Linked DNA regions of Oreochromis niloticus. The protein of the gene in region 2 interacts with the protein of the main gene of each other region in a biochemical or structural test. Links are inferred from orthologs where the notes say so. Each region holds a gene or a part of one and is shown on either strand. Other genes may lie near its edges. The genes, in order: abl1, erbb3b and nck2a.

What was found.
Region 1: the proteins of erbb3b (region 2) and abl1 form a complex in vitro, tested with the Homo sapiens proteins (2 studies listed by BioGRID and IntAct, with this or other methods). The link is inferred for Oreochromis niloticus from reciprocal best matches to the Homo sapiens genes ERBB3 and ABL1.
Region 3: the proteins of erbb3b (region 2) and nck2a form a complex in vitro, tested with the Homo sapiens proteins (2 studies listed by BioGRID and IntAct, with this or other methods). The link is inferred for Oreochromis niloticus from reciprocal best matches to the Homo sapiens genes ERBB3 and NCK2.

The regions. Positions count from the first base shown.
Region 1 is NC_031972.2:21,282,640-21,286,239, reverse strand, and holds the start of abl1 (tyrosine-protein kinase ABL1), read left to right. Parts: upstream 1-1,125; 5' UTR 1,126-1,699; intron 1,700-2,441; 5' UTR 2,442-2,669; coding exon 2,670-2,796; intron 2,797-3,600. UniProt on the Homo sapiens protein: Non-receptor tyrosine-protein kinase that plays a role in many key processes linked to cell growth and survival such as cytoskeleton remodeling in response to extracellular stimuli, cell motility and adhesion, receptor endocytosis, autophagy, DNA damage response and apoptosis.
Region 2 is NC_031984.2:19,602,029-19,610,510, forward strand, and holds the start of erbb3b (receptor tyrosine-protein kinase erbB-3b), read right to left. Parts: upstream 4,996-8,482; 5' UTR 4,461-4,995; coding exon 4,385-4,460; intron 3,021-4,384; coding exon 2,866-3,020; intron 2,734-2,865; coding exon 2,547-2,733; intron 1-2,546. UniProt on the Homo sapiens protein: Tyrosine-protein kinase that plays an essential role as cell surface receptor for neuregulins.
Region 3 is NC_031987.2:20,987,509-20,995,990, reverse strand, and holds the start of nck2a (cytoplasmic protein NCK2a), read right to left. Parts: upstream 5,298-8,482; 5' UTR 5,179-5,297; exon of another isoform or gene 4,983-5,178; intron 2,959-4,982; exon of another isoform or gene 2,873-2,958; intron 1-2,872. UniProt on the Homo sapiens protein: Adapter protein which associates with tyrosine-phosphorylated growth factor receptors or their cellular substrates. Maintains low levels of EIF2S1 phosphorylation by promoting its dephosphorylation by PP1.

The DNA.
Region 1 (3,600 bases), on a different chromosome or scaffold from region 2:
GTGCAAGACTATACTTGAGCATACTATAGTTGTGAAATAAAGTGTGTAGATCCCATGGAAATTGGTAGTTTTTAGTTATTATTTTAGGTTTTTGAGGGTATTCTTGCATAATCCATCCACTTTAAACGGCTAAATAATGATGAAATGGGACTTTTCTTGAATAGGTTGCTCCATAACCTCCTTTTCTTCTGTTTTACACATCCTTTGGTGGGTTTGCTAATGTGCTAGGGGTCACTAGCTTGTAAAAATATTTGAGCAGCTGGAACTCTATGATAAAATTCAGAAGTCATAGTTGACTCAGTAGTTGCCCAAACTGCCCAGTCACTGAGACAGTGGAAAACCTAAAGCAAACCCAAACCATAATGTTTCCACCACCATGATTCACAGTATGAGTATGGCTTTGGTATTTGCCACTTCACTGGTACTGTAAACTGTAGTTTTATTCTAATTTTCCTCCTGGACAATAAATGCTTTCCCCTGACACCTCTCATGTAGGTTAGATTTGTATAATATCTTTCTTGCGGTTGTAAGAATCCCTTGCTAACCCTGTGAAGAAAGTTTGTGACTTCTCTCTGCTTTTAGTGTCTTTAAGTTCCCTTAAAGTGAATAATGACAACACACCTGAACACAACAATATATATGTTAGAGATTTAAATTAGGTAAATTCCCATAGATCGTGTAAAATATATATTTATATACAATCATAGGTTCACTCCCTACAGAGATCCTGATAACATGCCACCCCTGATTCTGATAAGTACTTCAAAGTGGGATAAATGTTGAGTTAGATGCTTTAAAACTGAGTAAAGTAACTAAATTTGTGTAATTTATCTGTAAGAAAAGAATCAAGTGTTTTCATAGTTTGATATGCCAAAATGCATATATCCTTAAAACTATTAGGCCTGGGCTAGATCATATTCTTGAGCATTGAGTTCTTTATGGCTTTGATAAAATCCACCATTATATGTGTGGGTGGATGAACCTTTAACCTGTGGACCTTCAGCTTTTCTCCCCTGTGTGAGCGTACTCTCTCTGCCTCAGCGTGGCTGCAGTGTTGTTGCTCTTCCAGCACAACAAAACCTTTGCTCTTGTCCTCCTGTGCTAGTCCACGCACGCACGTGACGTCGTACGTCGCCCCACCCACACACCCAGTAAACCACCTTGCGTATGGAAGTATGGCGGCCCCAGCTACAGAACTACTACTCCGCCAAAGTTTACTGCTGCGATTTTCACGTGAAAGCTATGAATAAGTACGAGAGCCAGGGGTTCGGTAACGAAGAGCTCGGCGACTGTGAACAGAGGAAAGGACTTGTAAAAAGAGTCATCGCTCTCTGCCCCGCTGAGTTGCCTCGATTTGCCTTGATTGAAGTGCCTTTTAGTCCGGGTACCGCAGGGGAAGAAACTCCGCAAGACGAGAAAAGTGGACACGGAAGTTTGAAACCAACTGTGGCTTTGGAAAGACCAGCTGCAAAGTCTTGAAAGGGTGGCGGTCAAATCATGTTTTTGTGAGACGTTTAAGTGCACTTGTCGGCGGTTTCCCTACCAGCGAGCCAGCGACAGCCAACTGTTGCCTGCTTGGTGTGCATTTAAGGGTCTGGCGCTGCATACCACCAGCAGACGTTGGTTAGCTTTCATGGCTATCTCCAACATTAGCATAAGGTCGCCAGCTAACAAGCCACATAAATGTTTCTGTGACCGTGTAAGTTTCTCTAAACACTTGTTTTTACTCCCTACGGCGTTCGTAACTAGAGCAAAAGTTTGCTTTATGTGGCACATTTACTTCAGTGCCTGTTACTGATGATTAAATGATCTTTCTTTTTTTTTTCTTTTTAACTTTGCTATTCCAATAAAATAAGGGCAGTAATGTTATGGCTATCAATACTTGCTACTTTTCTTGCTTTTTCTTTCCGTGACTAGTTTTTAAATCTAACACTTGGCAGTTTTTTTGCATATCTATAATAGAATAAAATAGAATGGCCCTTTATTGTTATTGTACAACTAAATTGTGGGTGCTCCACACCAACTGTGCGGAATAAAATGTAAATGGCAGATAGCAGTAATAAATATGAGTGTAGCTTAACCTAGATTAGAGGTTTTAATGGCTATCTTTTTTATTTAAAGAGCCTTGAGGCAACTGATATTGTGTTTGGCGCTATATAGATAAAACTGAATTAAATAGACGTGCATTAAAAATAGAAAATTTAGCTGAAGTTTAGGCTATATGCAGCAGGGAAAACTAATTTGTATAGAAAAGGAAGCACCTGACATCACAGTTAAAGTGGAACACAATAAAACTAAATGGGCAGTTAAGATTAGCTTGTGGTTTGTTATTTGGCACATAAACTACCAGTCAAATTAGTTCTTGTTTTATTTTGACTTTACGGTCACATATCTTTGTGTTAAATGAAATCATCACTGAATCTTGTTTTATTTGTCTCTAGATCGCTGTGAAATGTCCCGTAAAGCACTCACGCTCCATTAATGCATGATAAACAGAGACATACTGGAGCATCACTGATTTGTGCTGGTGACCTCCATCACCTAAATTCTGGGAGGGGAGTGCCCGAGCCAGGGGAACGGATTCTTTTCTTTTCCCAATCTCCTCTTTTCCTGGTGGGCAACTGAGTCCAGCTTGGAGAGTCCCGGCTGCGGCCTGGCACCCTGCCCTTATGGGGCAGCAGCCGGGGAAGCTTGTAGGGGACCAGAGGAGACCCAGTTTGCCGGCCTTCATCAAGGGCTCGAAGAAGGAATCGTCACGCCATGGGAACCAGCCCTGTAATGTTTTTGCTGTGCACGGTAAGATCAAATATTTTTGTCACTTATTACATTGACAGCAAATGGATTTCCTAAAGTATAATAAATTTGCTCAGTAGGGGAAATTCTTGATTGAAGCTTTTTTTTTTTTTTTGTCACAGGCAGAGTCAAAAATAACAAAGTTTTTTTTTTTTCAGCAAAATAAATCCCACAGTGAAAATGCGCACATTGGAGCAACCACTGTACATATTAGCCAAAGATCGATTATGATCTGACTAATTAATCAATGAAGATGAAAAAAATTGCTGTCCAGCTGCTATATTTATGTTCTTTTGAAATTTTGCACACTTTGTGCACAAGCAGTATATTTTTAAACCTCATTTTTAAGAAAAATGGTGACATGTAGCTTGTATTTGATGGAAATCTATCAGTAAACATTACCAAAGTAACTGTTTTTACCAGGAGATGAGTTTACACTTGACCTTTTACAAGATGTAATTTAGTTTATTAAATGTGTGTTTATTATAATAATATTGACCTCCACAGATGGAAGCAATGTTTTAATGTAATGTCATAATGTTTAATGTATCATTTTGGCATGTCAAGTGTACAGCACTTTGTGTTCAGCTGGGGGCTGATCTGAAAGTGCTATATAAATAAATTGCTTGCTTGCTTGCTTGCATAAAAGTTTTTTGAGCTTCTTGGGCCTTCAAACCTTCAACACAGTCTTTAAAATATTTTTAGCAAATGTGTGCAGTATGCTGAGTGTTTTTCTGACTTTACACTGTCAGACACACGAGATAAACTTTGAATGGCTGCTCATTGTCAACATGTCAAATCTTAACA
Region 2 (8,482 bases):
ATCTCTCAGGTCATTTCATTTCAGTTTTATTTATGTAGCACCAGTTCACAATTGTAATGTAAAAAATCAAAATTACAGTTTAACAGATGTGGTGAGAAGTTTATCTCTACTCATCATGGGCCTGAACGTCAAAGTAATTTTGGACTGATTTCTTTTAACTCTTTCTTTTTTTTTCCAGGGTGAAATGATTTTGCACCATACATCTTTAATGTCTTTAAAAAAACAAGAATTACGTGCGCAAGTTTGAATTTATTTGGGGCTTTCTCTAAACCACACAGGGTCCAAAATATACACATACACCCTTTATATTTGGTTAAATGTCCTTTAGTAAGTTGTACCTTGTCAAGATACTTTTGGAAAACCATATTCAAAAAGCTTCTGGGATAATTCTAGCTGGACATTTGACCACTATTTTTAGCAGGTCTGGTAGAGATCATTTAAATTGTCACTGCTTTGGCACCAAGGTCCAGAAGATGACTCAAACTGTCACTTCAATTCTGCCAAGAAGAATTATGCCAGAAACTTGCTGATGGTTACCAAAAGCATCCTGATGAGGTGATTGATAGACAATGTGCTGAAGGACCATCCATCCATCCATCCATCCATCTCTTCCACTTATCTAATTCAGAGTCACAGGGGGGCTGGAGTGCATCCCAGTTGCCACAGGGCAGACACAGGGTACACTCTGGACAGGCTGCTAATCTGACTCAGGGCTAACACAGAGACACAAACAAGCATTCAAACTCACCCCTACAGGTAATTTAGAATCACCAATCAACCTAACCCCACTAACTGCATGTCTTTGGACTGTGGGAGAAAGCCGGAGAGCCATGCAAATACACCAAGAACATTCAAACTCCACACAGAAAGGTCCCGGTCAATTCAAAGGAATCATTTAAAGCCCAGACTTCCCATGACATTCATGCCCATGTTGAGTGGATGTTGAGGGGTAGCAGCAGTGCTGTAAGACTGTTAAAATGCTGTAGATTGAGATGAGTGATGTTTAAGATTATATAGGAATAAAAGTCAAAAACCAAATACGAAATTAGGTTCATGTTTTGTGTAATATTAGGTTGAATCAAGTTTGAATAAAGAGAGCACTTGAGGAACAGAGTAAGTTAGAGCCGTAGTAGGGAGAAGGTGTTTTCTATCCTTTACAGGAGAAGATTTCCACAAGAGAAGGACCCAGAAAAGGGACAGACCACTAGAGATTCACAAGTGTAAGGGGTCTCTCACCGGGTATGATTGGGTTCAGGGGTGAGGGAGGAGTGCTGATTGAGCTCTGCTCGCACTCTTATTCTCTCCTGCCCCTGATCAACTTTAGGCTCACTGATACTTTGGTGTGATTAACCTCAAGCATGAGTGTTCTCAAGTGGGAGCGGGCATTTTATTATTAAGACCACCTAGATGACATGGGGTTGTCTGGTTTGCTAAGTCACAGGATGCCAAGAGAGGGTCAGTGATCCTAAAGTCCACGACGTCAGGGGTGGACAGGGAAGCAGCTGAATGGGACAAGGAGTGATGCACCTGAAAGTATGGTGACCTCTGGTCAGCCAGAGGTCAAAAGGGGGAATGAGGGGTCCGACAAAATGCTTTTGCCATTATGTAATCTGTAGCTTCCACATAGTATGCTGATCAGTGTAATTTTCAATGATCAAACTGTAATAGAGACGAGCAAACATATTGGCAGAGCTGAGAAGGAGAAGCCTGTGTTATGAAAATGATTTTAATCTTTTATACATGATTGCATTTGAGCATATTAAAGAGCTGTGGCTCCTGGTCACGTGAAGGTCAGAAGTGTAACGGGTGAGATGTGAGAGCATTTAAGGGCGAGACACACATACAGACACAAATAGTGAGAGGTCATGACACGTACACAGTACACAGCACGCACGCGCCCCCGCACGTGCACACATACACACCATAATAGATCTATTTTGGTAGGGCAGAAGTGAAGATGTATTTTTGCTGCAAATGCAGAATTGTGCCGACGTACTTAGAGGAAGTGCAACAGATGTCCCAGGAGATAAGCGACAGCGAAGACGAGCTGAGGGGAAGCACCGACCCGAAGACAATGTACTTTAAACTATGTTAAAGTTCACGGAACATTTTGTGGTTTAGGCTGACGTATGCTGTATTAAATCTGCCTACCAACAGAAAAGGGGGCTGTACTATCTTAACCCTATAAAACTGTTGTCTGAATATGGTAAAGACAGTTCAATACTGATTGGGTTGTTGAACTCACACATGTGTTTATTAAAATACTGTCTAATTGCACACTGGACCGGATCTGTGGTTATTTATGGATTCCTCTCTCAACAATGAACCTTAACAATGTAAACTTCTGACCACAGCTGTATTTGATGGCAGGGACTTCCAGTAGGACCAGGCTTGATCTGAGATGTTGAGTTTAATTGCTCCATTTTATGTAATGCACCACTCCCCACTGTTACAAACGCCTTGGGTTTCAGAAAGCATTTTCTTTTACAGAACAAACATTGAACGTTTTCTTTCTCTAATATCTGTTTTTCTGTTGTTCTTCTAACCCGTCAGGTTTGCGAGTCCCAGCTGTTGTAGGCCGTTGGAGCCGTCCTTGGGGTAGTTGAGGAAGATCGATAGAGCAAAACGTCTTTCATACAGGCTGTTTCCTCTGATGACGCGCAGTTGGCCCAGAGGAATCTCTTGAAAGTGGTTCATAGCAATGAGGACATAGCCAGTCACCTCACGGATTCTCTAGAGTGAAGAAGACCATTAATATAAGAGGCAATATAAGAGGCTACTTCTACAATATACTCTCCACTTTTTAACGCTTTTTTTCAAATTTACCGACTGGAGGCCTGGAGAGTAAGGAAACATGACATTTACCTTGAGGAAGGAGAAGTCCCAGTTACTCTCAATCTGTGTGATCTCCAGGTTTCCCATTACAATCTCACAGCCATAATACCGGTTTCTAATCAGATTGTACTGGTTCTCCTGAGAGCCCGTGGAACTGAGTCCATTCTGCGTCCCTGGACACACTTCTAACACAGATAGGGAATAAAGATGAAAATGAACGTAAATAACACTGGGAAACTGAGTACTGTGGGCTGTGTTGTGTCTGTGGTATTTATAGGGTTGGTGACTCTCCCTGATGCTGTGTTCATGCCTGTGCTGGCTACAGATTTTGATGTGAAGCAGAGAGAAACAGGCAGGCTGTTACCCGCTTACATGGAGCAGTACAGGCCTGGGGCTGATGAAGAGGAGGCCAGGGGGGTCAGAAGAGAGAGTGACTTTTTTTTTCTTTTTTTTCCCCCTCAGACAAAGTGCTTCATTGTTGTAAAGCTATAAATGTGGACAGTGTGTCTCAGTGAGTGATGAGTGCTGCAGTGACAGACAGTGCTTCTGTGTATGCGTGTGCATGTGCGTCTGCAAGCCACGCATTGCTGAGATCATACCAAAAGACAATGGGCCGTGTGTGAATGGGACTCTCTGGCAGAGGGAAGGGAAATATCGTGAACGGAAGGTGACATACACACCATCTCTGAGTGCCCAGCAAGAAAACTGAGGAACTGGTCCTTTAATGTGCAAACGTTAGCCACCTGCAGCACTCACTCAACACAAGTCACATCTCTTGTCTTCGTTATGAACACATAACACACAGCTATAGGCCCCTGAAGACTGCTGCATAATAACAATGGAAAGTTACATGCTGACAAAGGACTGTTGCCTAATGCACACTTATATTCATACATGGCTCTTTTAAGCAAACACTGGCCCTGAATCATTCAGCTAATCTGGGAGGACTCAATAATATTCAACTCATACTTAGGATACTCAAAAACAGGCATTAGTACTTAAATTATTTGTTAATGTTTTGTATTTATAAAAACATTCATAAAACATTCATGAAAGGGCTCAGTGATCGGAAATTAGTAAATAAACAAAAGGTCCTGACAGGAAAGAAAAACAGTGTGATTGTTTGACAGCTATCTCAAAGGGAGATCTGAATGTTAGCAAAGACACATTAATGTCGTTGTAACTGCAGATAACCACATTAAATTTTATTAGAAAGAATTTAGTGACAGCGTGACAATCAGTTAATGGTAAATAGAGGTTCTTAAAGTGAATCTTTGCTGTTCTCTGCAGATTTTTACAGTGCAGTGCAAGGGCCTGGATAAGACCCTAATCATAACAATAAAAAAGCTTTTAAGGAAGAGTGGTGAGCTGTGAAGCAAACAATGGCATGGTGAGGTTTATCACTTTATACTACGAAAGCTTTAAGTGCATACAGTTAATTCTATTCTATTGCTAGAATTTGTCTGGTAATTGAGGTATTATCTAAATTTCACGAGATTCAAACTTAATGAAGACAGGATTTCAGATGTAGAATCACGTATATCCTCACCTTCATGCGTTTGAGATGATGTTCGAAGTCTCCAAGACAAAATCACTCCCAGTAAAATGACTCGCCACTGCTCCATGCTGATGTCCAGCCTGTTCACGGAGATCTATGCATATCACAGGGGTTTAGGTAGTCCTCCGAAGAGCCAATATGTATTGCAGGGAAAACTTTGACTAAAGAATATACAGTAGGGGGTGTAAAAGTTAAGAGTTAAGTCTCTATGAAAGGGAAAATCCGATCAAATCATGAGTCAAAGTGAAGGACAAGTGCAACTCCTTCAAAACACCTAATAAGACCGCAAACATCCCTCAGACTACTTGAAAAACTGAGAACAAGTTGTAGTTTATTGTGATGAGGGAATTTCCCTCCCAGATGGGGACGTGTGATTGGCCGATATCCCGACCAATCAGTGGTTTGTCCGTCATTTCGAGCTGAAGCCTCGGTTGTTACGCTAAAGCAAAGAATTTTGCTAAATTTATGAAGCCCTCGAGAAACGACTGACATAATACTGCTGACAGAAAGCTTAAAAAATTACAAACACGCGTGGCTAAAACACTATAATAACAAAAAAGCTAAATGACACACGAGTCACTGAGACAGACTCGGTTGACTAACAAGGACAGGTCGTTCAGTGTAGCATTTAACTGATTTTGGATGTGAATCTTTGCCGTGTGCAGCAGTGTGAACACCAGTTATTTTTGTTTCATGCTGTCAGCAGTGGAAGCAGCGTTTCGGTCCCCCCACCCAGTAAGAGCCCAGCGCTCTGAGTGGCCGCACTGTTTCCCCCCGTAAAGAGCAGTATTGTCCCCGCAGCCCTGTCAACTGGTTAATCACCTCTTTGATGCGTATGGAGCAGCCTGCCACAATGGCCACATTGTCAGACAGTCAAGTGACTTCTGAACCCAAAACAAGAACATGCTTAATTTGAGAAAATGGCCTCGGAGCAGACAAGATTCCTGAACACGGAGCTGCGGGTGAAAACGGGCCACTAATGGATGGAAATCATTAACCGCTTCTGACAGATGTACTGTTAATCTTATTTTTGAATGCGGCAGGGAGGGGAGAGCCGAACAATCCACAGTTTGTTTGCAAGCATCCATGTGCAGGAAATGGGAAGAATGGTGAGATTGAGATGAACTTGGATTTTAATGTTCGTCTCAACAACCTGATGGTAAAAGACGCCAAGAAATAACACCACAGCGCGGTTTATGTGTACAGTAATTAATGTCTTTGTTGTTCATCTGCCTGGACTTTAAAGCAGGAGTCTCAAATGCCCTACTCCAGCCTCTTTTTCTGTCCAGCAGGAGGAGCCAGAGTCTGACACTTAGGCGTCCTATTTCACAGCTGCTGCAGGGCCCTGTGGTGGGTAGACTCAGCGTTTGCACATGGATGGCTATTTTTACACTGTTTATTGGACATTTGATCCAATCTCTAATTTCTTATAATAAAATAATCAGCCTTTAATCCAGTCAGTCACTGAATAGTGGAAAACTTTGTGGGGAAAAAAACACCATTGCCCCAAAAATGTTGGAAGAAATCTTGAAGACTGAGTCAGTTGTTTTGTTTCATAAACAGCAGTCAGTGTGAAACTTTCCTGTTGCTGAGTAAAACGGTGAAAAGTGTAAGATTGTCACCAGATGCACTTTTTTTGTGCGTGTGTTCATTTTTCACATGAGAGTTTCTCTGTTTGTCCCGTCAAGATAGCTTTGATAGCAGCCTATAGTATTTACAGAGCTTGGCACTTTCACAACGCCACCATGGTGTCAAGTCTCTGTGTCAGCCCTGGTGGCCCTGTCCCTTCCAAGGGGAACTGTGAGGGGTGCCTGCTGTGGCCTTTTGGAGTTGCCACTCCCTTCAGAGATTGATGAATTGATTGTGGGGCTGCTGCCAGTGTGTCTGTGCCCTGGGCGAAGGTGTCCCGGTTACGAGTGGGAATCCCAGCTATGGCATCCGCCCTGGGGCCACTATTGTAGCGGTCCTGCAGGGGGCCAAGGGGGCTGGTGGCCCCGGGAGCAGCTCCGACTCACATACTGCTGTCACACCCTTGGAGACACAGCAGCACTCTCCCCTACATGGACCTCTGATTGGCTCAGACAAAATGACTCTCTGTGAAGTGCAGCAATTCCACAGGCAAACTACCTGATTGTGCCAAACTTCTCTTGATAACAGCAGTTAATAAAGGACAAAAGAAAGGCTGTGTAGAGCCAAATCCCACAGTTGTGTAATATGTGCTGTTAGTCTGATTTTAGTCTTAGCTGATGACTGGTACGGTAAACAGTTTACTGAGTTAAAACTGTTCTCGATCAACTCCCACTTCATTAAAAAAAACCCAGTCTAACTCACATTTAGATTTTTGACCTTTATTGTGCAGAGTGATACATGCGTCATAAGGGACGTCAAAGCTGTTTCCTATTAATCTGCTGAAAAGAACGTCCTTCTGGACTCACCTTAAATCAAAGTTCAACATGTGTAGGCATAAGAGGATATTGTGACATCACAACCAGTTTGGAGGCCAGATGTGGCCGCAACTTAAAACCTCCGGTGCACACATGAAATCAATTGAACATATATGTGTTGAGGCAACAGTTAAGAGTTTTTAAATATTTTACTGTTTATTATGGATTCATCAATGAAGGAGAAGTACAGTAAGGTCAATAATGTGTTGTGCAAAGACAGAGTTTTTGTAGTGTTGCCTCTGTACACCGCCACAGCAGATTTTAAATCAAACAGTCATGATGTGACTGACATGCACACACGCCTGCTCTTAAAGTGTGGTCTTGATCTGGTTAGATGCTGTGAAGCCGTTTTTCTTAACCATGGAAATAATTCTGTCATCATGCACTCCATTTGTCTTCGCTGGTCTTCCAGGCCTGTTGGGAGCTGCTGACTTGATCACTGCATTTATACTTCTTAAGAATGTTGCTTCAGCCATTCCTAATTATTTCATTATTGCTCTTATTTATTTGGGTTTTTCAAGCTAACTTGTCTCCCTCACTTGAAATGACATCTCTTATGAGCCTCATGTTTTAAAAATAACAATAAAAACTATAAAATAAAAATTCTACACTTTGAATCAACCTCAGACATTGTGTGTTTAATTTGTCCTTTGACTCAAAAATGACTGTACAGAAGCAAAACTACAAAAACAGTGTCTCTGTCCAACAAATTGAGGACCAAACTGTTTCAAGAAACCTAGCAGGGATCTTAAAAGGACACATCACCTCCAAATCAAATACAGTAGTTTGTGTGAGAACTGCCTTCGTTCTACCACACTGCACTCACCACCCACATCAAACATAGTGTTTTGGTGCTTTGAGCACCACAAGTATACTCTGTAGCTTCCTTTTATTCAAGCAGACAAACATCTTCAAAACTGGGCAACTTATCCAAGAACAATGATTGACAAATAATGACTCGCACATTTGATTCTGGGGCGAACTGTCAACTTGAAATTGAGTTTGAGCCACAGACAAGAGAAGATAAAGACAGCACGCTCGTAATCGTGCTGGGGTTTTCAAACCAACACGTGCGACGATAAACGATAGCAAGGAAAAAAATGAGCAAGGCAAAGCAAATGTATACTCTGGTCTTTTTATTTATTGATGTAGTCTCAGGAATAATTAAATCATTCAACACTTTTGCACCTGCTTAGGTTTTTCTGATTTTCTGTCTTAAATTTCCCCCTCTTCATATTATACTCTGTTTCTCTCTGAGAGCAAATCGCCAGCTGGAATGTCGTGCAGCCTCATTTAATATTTTTCTTTATTTGAAAGTTAAAATCTGAAAATAGTCACTGAAAGAGGGAGGGATGTTTAGCCACATCGGAACTGCTAGTGCATCGGTGTCACAGATCATAGGTGAGATACTTGAATGCTGGATATTTCTTACATATAAACCTGTTATCAAAGAGAAATGAAACCACTGGCTAAATAAGGCCACGAAAACAATTTTCACACCAAACCGAACGGAATATAATGCACGTCACACACGCACACACAAGCTGCTGTCAGTTATCTGCCAACACGCTGACCCCATTATCTACAGGTGTATCAACAGCGCTTTTGGTTTCACCCCGAAAACCACGGTTCCACTTTCCCGGTT
Region 3 (8,482 bases), on a different chromosome or scaffold from region 2:
AGCTGATTGTCACAGTCAACCGTAGCTTGCATGGACGACATTGACTTGTCTGCAAACACTCGTCAACTACTTCCCAAGTGGTAGTAAGAGATAAAGTGAAAAAAGAGAATGTTCGCCTTCAAAGTAATATCTATGCTTTACCATTACAACTCCAATAGCCAGCAACGTTCAACAACCAGTGACCAGTGGTTGCCATTATCTCTGGCTAGCTTCTAGGCTCGTGTAACTGGAGTCTTAAATAGCCAATGGGATTGAAGCGGACACGTTCAGATGCCATCAGATTAACAGAAAGAGAGGAATGAATGTCTAAATTTTTGCTTCCAAAGAGAAGAAATAATAATCATGATAGATCAATACATTTTTTCCATTCAGTTTAGCTATAAAACTCAAAGTTGAAACTCTCACATTTTTTTTCCAGGTGCAGCTAAGATTACTAAAGAAGAGTTTTAATCAGTAAGATACATATACACTTTACTTGGTGTAGATGTATCTTGTGTCACAAAGTTTATAAAGTTGAACCTGTTAAAGAAACTTTAACAGTTGCCTTTGCTTAGGATCTCTCACATGGTTCACCATCATCTGCATGCAACATTAACCGTCAAGTGCAGGATCTCTATTGTTTGCATAATGGTCACCATGTAGGTCTTCCAAGGCCCAGCCTACCGCAGCCATAAACAGTATAAAACAGACACAGCTTTCATGTTGGTTAAATAAACCCAATGCAGAAGTCCCTAACAATCTGCATCTATCTGGAAGACACCAGATGGTGATAGCTCCAGTTGCAAAGAGATTTATGGTTCTATTAAAGTCTATGGGAAAGGGTTTTTCATTCCTGACCTCTGTAAAAGCTTTTCTACAGAGTTTATGGGCTCAGTCACTAATTTTAGGTTATACTGAATAAATATTAAGTCGGTTTTGAAAAGAAAAGCTACTTTTCAGCAGCTCCCTTAGTGACAAGCGGTCACCTCAGCGGATCTCTCCATGTATTTGATTTGGCAGATTTTTATGCTGGATGCCCTTCCCGATGAAACCCCCAAGGGATTTGTGTCTCCCCCCGGCATCAAATCAGGGATCTTTTGCTTGTTAGGCAAATGTGCAAATCACTACACTGTGAAAAATCATGTTAAAAAAAAAAAAATCATTGCACAGAATAAGCAACACCTTGGACCAGATGTAGCACACTAGGATAAGGAAGGGGAAATTCTTATGATGATCACTTTATACACTAACAATATCTGTGCATAACTTATCTTTCCATTTGTCTATATTTGTTAAAATAAACCACAGTGCGCTAAAGTGACCGACTGACACTTCCATCCCAGAGCCATGTTTATCATAACATTAAAAAAAAAAAAGAAAAGAAAAAAAAAAAAACATTGATGGGCTGGAGTGACGTGGTTTGAAGGAAATAACACCAACTTTAAAAACAAACAAAACCCAAATGAAGAAAGATTATATTTAACCAACAAGACCACACACACACACACACACACGGTAACCTTCCTGAGCCAGTTTAAACAGCAGCATGAATCAACTTTCTTCTCTTACATTACAGAGTCACAGAAAGGGGGCCCACTGTCATAACTGCATGTACTGTCAGTTTAATGGATAACTATTCCCCAGATTACAGATGATTACAATGACAATGAGATGGCCTTCATCTTGCTTCCATCATGATTCTCTTCAGAAGCATTGCTCAGTGTCTTCTTGCAGCATTTATTAATTCTTTCTTCATTCCTACTAAGCCTTTTCCCTGAGGGACATGAAATGTTATGCTTTCCACGTGAAAAAAATAAATAAATCCTTTTCCATGGACGTTTCCCCCCTGCTGTAGGCTCCTGAAAATATTGCTGGAAATAAATTTCTATTATTTTGTTTGGGAGGTCTACACAAAAACCTACGTTTTACACTTTCTTCACATCGTTCTAGACAATGTGAAGAAAGTGTAAATAAAATTACCCTCACTCTCCAAGAGACAGCCCATGTAATATAGGTCATAAAATAAAAGAGGATGACGCAATAGGCTTTAAAACCCTTTTCTCACAGCAGGCATAAAAATAAAGATATATTTCGCCTGCACTTGAAATCTTAAATCATTTAACTACCACTTATGTTATTAGACTATAAATGATTCATTGCTACATTACAGACAATTTAAGATCGCATATGATCGACTCAGCGCCTTCTTCACATTTAAAAAAAGAGAGAGAGAGAGAAAAAAAAGACCACTTCAAGTACAAATCACATAAATCAGCAAAATAAGAAAGAAGCAAAGCATCACTTGCTCGGAACAAAGTCATTTTCCACTGGCTTCCACTCAAAACAACAGAGGAAAAAAATATTGTGCGGGCACAGCGCGGCAGTATGCAAGGGATATTTTTTTTTTTTTTTTTTTTTTTTTTTCTTTAAGGCCCATTAGGCATACACAAGAAAGACGAGCAGAGTAATTAGTTGCAGCTCATAAAAGTGCAATCAAATACACAGAAGAAAGAGGATTTGGATTACTCTCTCATCTGTAAGAAGAAAAAAAATGCAGCTCAAATGACAAACGTGCACATGTTCCAAGTTTGATAGGGGAAGTTAAGACAAAAAATAGCAATTTGTCACTAAATGCGAGGGCGATCTACACGCTCGTATTTATATCAACGTCACATATACTAAGAAATATTCATATTACATTATTTTCTCTAAATCGGCACCAAATGTTTATGCAATCATCTGACGTCCAGAGTATTCTGTTCAACATTTGCTACGAGCTGCCTTCATATCAACTTAAAGTGACAAAGCTCATGCAAGGTGGAAACAAACAAAGTCATATATTAACACCAGTGTTTGTTCTTTCTATCAGATTGGATATGAGGTTAATCATTACCTGTTGTCCAGGCTGCTTCATTCACTTAGGCACATTATGGTAGGAAAAACCATGCATGTTTTAATATCCAAATGCTGAATCACACACTGGTTAAAAAAAAAAAAAAAAAATAGCTTCAGTTCATCTCCAGCATTTAACACTTGGCAGACTATTAAAGGGGAAGTTCCCACAGATTGACTCTTAAAATTTTTGACTTTATTAATTGATGATGGCTGCCTGAACGCACCATTGGTTTCAGTCTCCGCAGCACATGGAGGCAATTTAATGTGTGTCATTTTGAAAAGGGCTCTTCTATAAGTCCAGCTTATAATGAAACATGTCAATTATAAATTCTTGAAAGGAGAGGTAATGAAAGACTCCTTTAAATGATGCAATTGGAGCAACCAGCAGTTAGAAAAAGCCCCAAATAATTGGTTTACAAAGATTTTAAAGAGGGAAAAAAGCAGCATCTGCAAAATTGACTTAATCAGCTTTAGATTAAAATGACAAAATTGCTTAACATGTGCACACACTTGGTAATCAATGATTCCTTCAAAATGTACCTACAAAATATGCCTTAGATCAAAACCTCATTTAAAAACATACATGCAACAGGATACAGCAGGTTTGCAACAATTATCTGACTCACTTCTACATTACTTTCTCAGTTATAACTGTTTATAAGTCGTAAAATAAAATTCTAAAAAAAGGCACGGCGTGAGTTATTTTAATACCGCTTTTTTTGATTGCCAATCAAAAATGCAATAATATTCAGCTTACAATCATAGAGGATCAAGAAATGCAGCAAATATTCACTGAGAGGTGGAATCAGACCCAAATTACCCGATCACCGTAATTCCCATAACTAATAGTTTCAGGTCAAATTTAGGGTTTAACTGAACCACCACATAATCTACAACACTCATACTAAATGTTACTTGAGTGTGAAGTCAGCCCGAAAAGCTCACATTTCCACTGAGTACATGCAGTTACTGCACTTCTCGGTATCATTAGCAGTCTTTCTAGTTTTAGTTTCTGATATGCTGGAAATGCAAAGCACTGAAACTCGCGTTCTCTCTTTGCTTTGTGATGTAATGGACGTTTATGCAATTCACACTTTATCGCTCCATTATTGCACATGCCTACACGGCATACCTGTCACTTCTGAGTGAACCTTGTCCTAGACTCAGAGCTAACATGGTGCTCTTGTCAGAGGGTGTGTCGGCAGAATAGGTGTGCCACGCAAGTGTACCTGCATGTTGAAAAAAAGAAAAAAGAGAAACTGTGCTTTCTTATAACCTCAGTCCTTGCATTTGCATGCAAGTGCAAATTTCCCCCCGTCTTCTAGAATAAAAGGGACTTTAGTTATGGACAATAACTGCCACAGCAAGACAGACAATGCATGCTATTCTCTGCTGCTATTGATGAGGAGGACGCACGGTGTAGTTACCATGAAAAGCCACTAGACATTCAACATTGACAATCTCGGCATGTGGCACCAGTCGCCAGTCTATGGTGTTTTGGCAAATGTGGTTCATTGTGTAAGCCACTGCGTTTTTAAACAGGCCTGCTGACAAACGCAGTGCATTGTAAATGTAAAAAAAATAACATGAATTTATGTGTGGATTTCTATTAATTTGAGATATAAATGCGAGAAATTACTCAAACAAGAGCAGCTGCCTGAGAAAACAGTCTAAAGGACCTGCCTGAGGATTGCTTGAGTAGCTTGCGCTTACAGGCCTTTAAGAAGTGGCCCCGCACAAAAATTGCTAAATGGTAAAGTTGATAAATTGAAAACCATTTAGTCTGGCTCTAAAAATGAAAAAAGAAAAATATCACTGTTTGTGTGGCTAGTTAACAGCAACCACTCAAACGCAAGGAAAAACCGAGGCTGTAGCACACAGCGTCCAGTGAAACCACCTCTGAGTGGACAAAGACCCAGCGTCAAACCTACAAAGTGGCACGAGCAAGCTGCCGTTTTTCTTTACCCCAACTTTTACTTCAGCTTGTAATGACATTTTTCGCGGGCAAATTTAACTAAAAACGGTTGTTTAAGCAGCACTGAAATGGCCAAAGCGACCGGTCCAAGTGCACCAACTTAACACAGTTCATTTGCGGTTACAAGGCTTACCTTAGTGTTCACTCCAGTGAGAATGGGCAAACAGCGACACGCTCAACAACAAACCCCGAACCAGAACCCGCCAATCAAATTGTAAGTTAGGGAGCCCGCGCGAAAGCCGCAAAGATAACCCCCTACATCCACATATCCACGGGTTTCTCTATTTTTTCTTTCTTTTAAAACAAGAATCGAGCATGAAGTGTCCGACCTATTATCGCTTGTTTTTTCCGTCGCAGGCTGACTGCCTCCACCTCAATCACTCGTTTCAAGCTTGGTCTATGGGGCTGCCAACTTCCGCTCTTTGCTTTCAAAATAAATTCTTCTGGGCGTACAGACGTTGCAGTCAAACGAGCTGAATTTGAAATCCGGAGGAAATGGTGATAGAAGTTTAACTTCCAGGTGGGAAAAATAGATTTTTAATAAATGTGTTTAGATTTTTAAAGTTTTTAAGTTTTTAAGTCAGATATGTCTTGTGTTTCGGTTTATGCCTTTTTTTTTTTAAAATCTCCAAGTAACCAGTATTTTATTTAATAAGTTAATTCAGATGATTCGTCAAAATATCTGCCCTTAAAGGTGTCTAGAAGCTTCACAAAGACTTGTTTCCAGAAGGATTCTGGGTCTTCTCCTTCATCTGACTGCTCCTTTTAGGGGGTCACCACATCAGATGCTCTGGCTCCATCTCACCCTATTCCTGACATCCTCCTCTGTCACACAACCAACTTCATTACATCCACGAATCTTCTCTGTCATCATCCTCTTTTCCCCCTGCCTGGCAGCTTCATATCCAATATCCTTTGTTCAACCTACGACCTATCTCCCTCTCCAAATGTCCAAACTCTCTCTAATTCTATCTCCAAACTTACCTGGTCACTCACAATGAAAAATTTAGCATCTTCAACTCCCTGTCCTTTTTGTTCATCTCCAAACCCCACATAACAGCAGGTCTCACTACCCTCCCAAGGTGGCTGTGGCTAGGTGTGAAAAGAAATGTTAAGCAGGATGCAAACAGAGATTATGAATTTAAAAATATTTTATTTTCTATTTTAATTTTTATTCAGTTTTCTGTTATTCATGTTTGCGCCTACAATTTTCAATGAAATTTTGCTTCTGTGTTATCCAAGTGATCTAAGACGACTAATGCTTTTATTTCGAAGACACCTTCTTTGATTTCCGGTTTGATTTCGTTGAGTGCGCTCAGCTTGATCGCCGGTCCCCTTGGTGACGTCACCCACACCGGGACTCGTACAGGACAACGCCGAGAGAAAGGGAGAAAATGTGAGGTACTGTGTCGCCCCTTGGCGACCACACTGGGAAAACGGATGTATTTTATTTTATTTTTACATGCAAAGTGGTTTTTTTTTTCAATAGCCTGCAAGTGATTATCTTGAGTAAACTCATAAACAAAAACTTAGTATTGATGAGTTCATCAAAAAGTCCCTGCTCGCCCGTCAACTATGTAATTAATCATACCAAAGTATTCGTCGTATATTACACAGTAAACTCCATTGTTCACACACTAAATTTAGACTTTGTGCGGTTGTTTTCTCATCTGTGTGTTCCTTCTCACGGTTTTCATCACTCAGATGGTGTGCTATTTACAGAAATAAATCATCCTACACACTTGAAACTGTTAAAAATAACACGAGGCGGAAAAGACGTTGCATTTAGCTCATGTTAGAGTGAAAAAAAGAGTTAAAAACAGTCAAACACCTTGACACGCTAGAGGTTCAATGAGCAGGTCTGATATTTACCAGTACTAAGGTTTAGTAATCAAAGAGCAATCAGATTAAAAGCAATCAGAGCAAAATCCCCCCCGTTGTATTTTATGTTTGTTAGACACACCTAACATACAGTATATGATCTCATGAGTACTGACAAGGCCGCATTTTCATGAATAAACCTTGAGCACGAGTAACCGGTTGCATAATAACAGGTTGGTTTTTACATCCAATCAAAACAAGTCAGTCCTAAGATGGTAATAAAAGAAAGCTGCACTGAGTCGATGCCGATCTGATTTAGGAATGGAGTCCCTACTGAAGTGTCCAAAGTGTCCCGTTTTTCCTTGCTCAGTATCCCACGGTGATTTGCTTTTATGGGCACCATTCGAAATCAAATAATGTTCTAGATCTAATTTTGAGAAATTAGAGCCGTGGCAAAAGGCCAGAATTTAGTCAATATCTCTAAAGACTTTTTCTCAACTATATATTACATGTCAGTTTTATGACAGTTTGTCTGTCATGTAAGAAAAAAATAAAATAATATCGCTGTTTTGAATGCTGTAAAAGTGCAGTCTCACATTAAGACTACATCCTGTGTCTCTGACTACTACACATTTGTAATTTATGACTGGATTTGGATCCTACTCAACACACAGTTTTCATAGCCAAAACCTTCTGTTCCCACTAATCTCTTATGTGCAATATCCATCTGTTTTAACAGTTCAGTTGGCCCAAATCCACCGATGCTGATTCATTTATGCGTACCGTGTTACACTGCGCCTTCACACGTCCCTATTCATTCCTGCAATGTAAAGCAAAGCAGTTACCTGTAAACGCCCTTTGACACTCAACTCAGCAGGCCTGAGCGACACTTTTTTGTCTTTATTTCAAAGTGTGCAGTGAGAGTGAAAATAACACTGCACGTGTATAGAGAGGCTCTTGTAGCATTGGATTTGCTGTCACAAGGGGGCAGAACATCCTTGGAAGAAATGCATATCCATTACTGGTATGCCAAAAGCTTTAATGTGCCCTAAATGCTGCAGCAGGTCAGATGTAGTGCACCAAAAGTATCAGGATGTCTGCCTGCATTGTTCCCCTTCTGCAACACAAAAGCTAAAATGCTTTTTGTCCCTTCTAATCCACCAAACTCTGCACCACCAATACAAAGTCGCAGTATCACGACTCAGTGTGTCCCATTTGCATGCATATTGTAAGAAACAGTGCTAAAAAGATAAAGTATGTGACCTGGATCACGGGCGCTGTCCCCGTAATCATGTGCGAATGCCTAACATACCAACCTTCATCACCATAGCGTCAGGATTTGACAAATAAATGACCATCTGCTGACCTTTTCACCCACACTCCACTCCTCCACCCCTCACCCCAACCACCCTGTCTTATTCATCATACACAATTTTGTTTTCTACCTCAACAAACTAATTTAATTAGAGGACAGTTGGATGAATAACTGTAAGCACGTGCTTATTTTTAACCATCCACGTTAAAAGTTAAATCCGTTTTAATGCTGCGGACTCACGGGTAATTGGAAAGAGCTGATGTGCGTGTTCACACTGCTACACTTGGTATTATTAGATTTCCCGATTGGATATCATTCAGCATAAAGTTCATTATATAACTTTCAAAAACAACATTACATGTCTAAGGGGGGAGGAGGCGGTGTTTAATGTTGCTGAAGAAGTGCAAAATTATTGGAATGGTTTGTCTTTCATACCCCACTCCTCCTAATCCCGAGGCAAACTTGATTTATTAATCGAGACTGAGTCACACATGTCA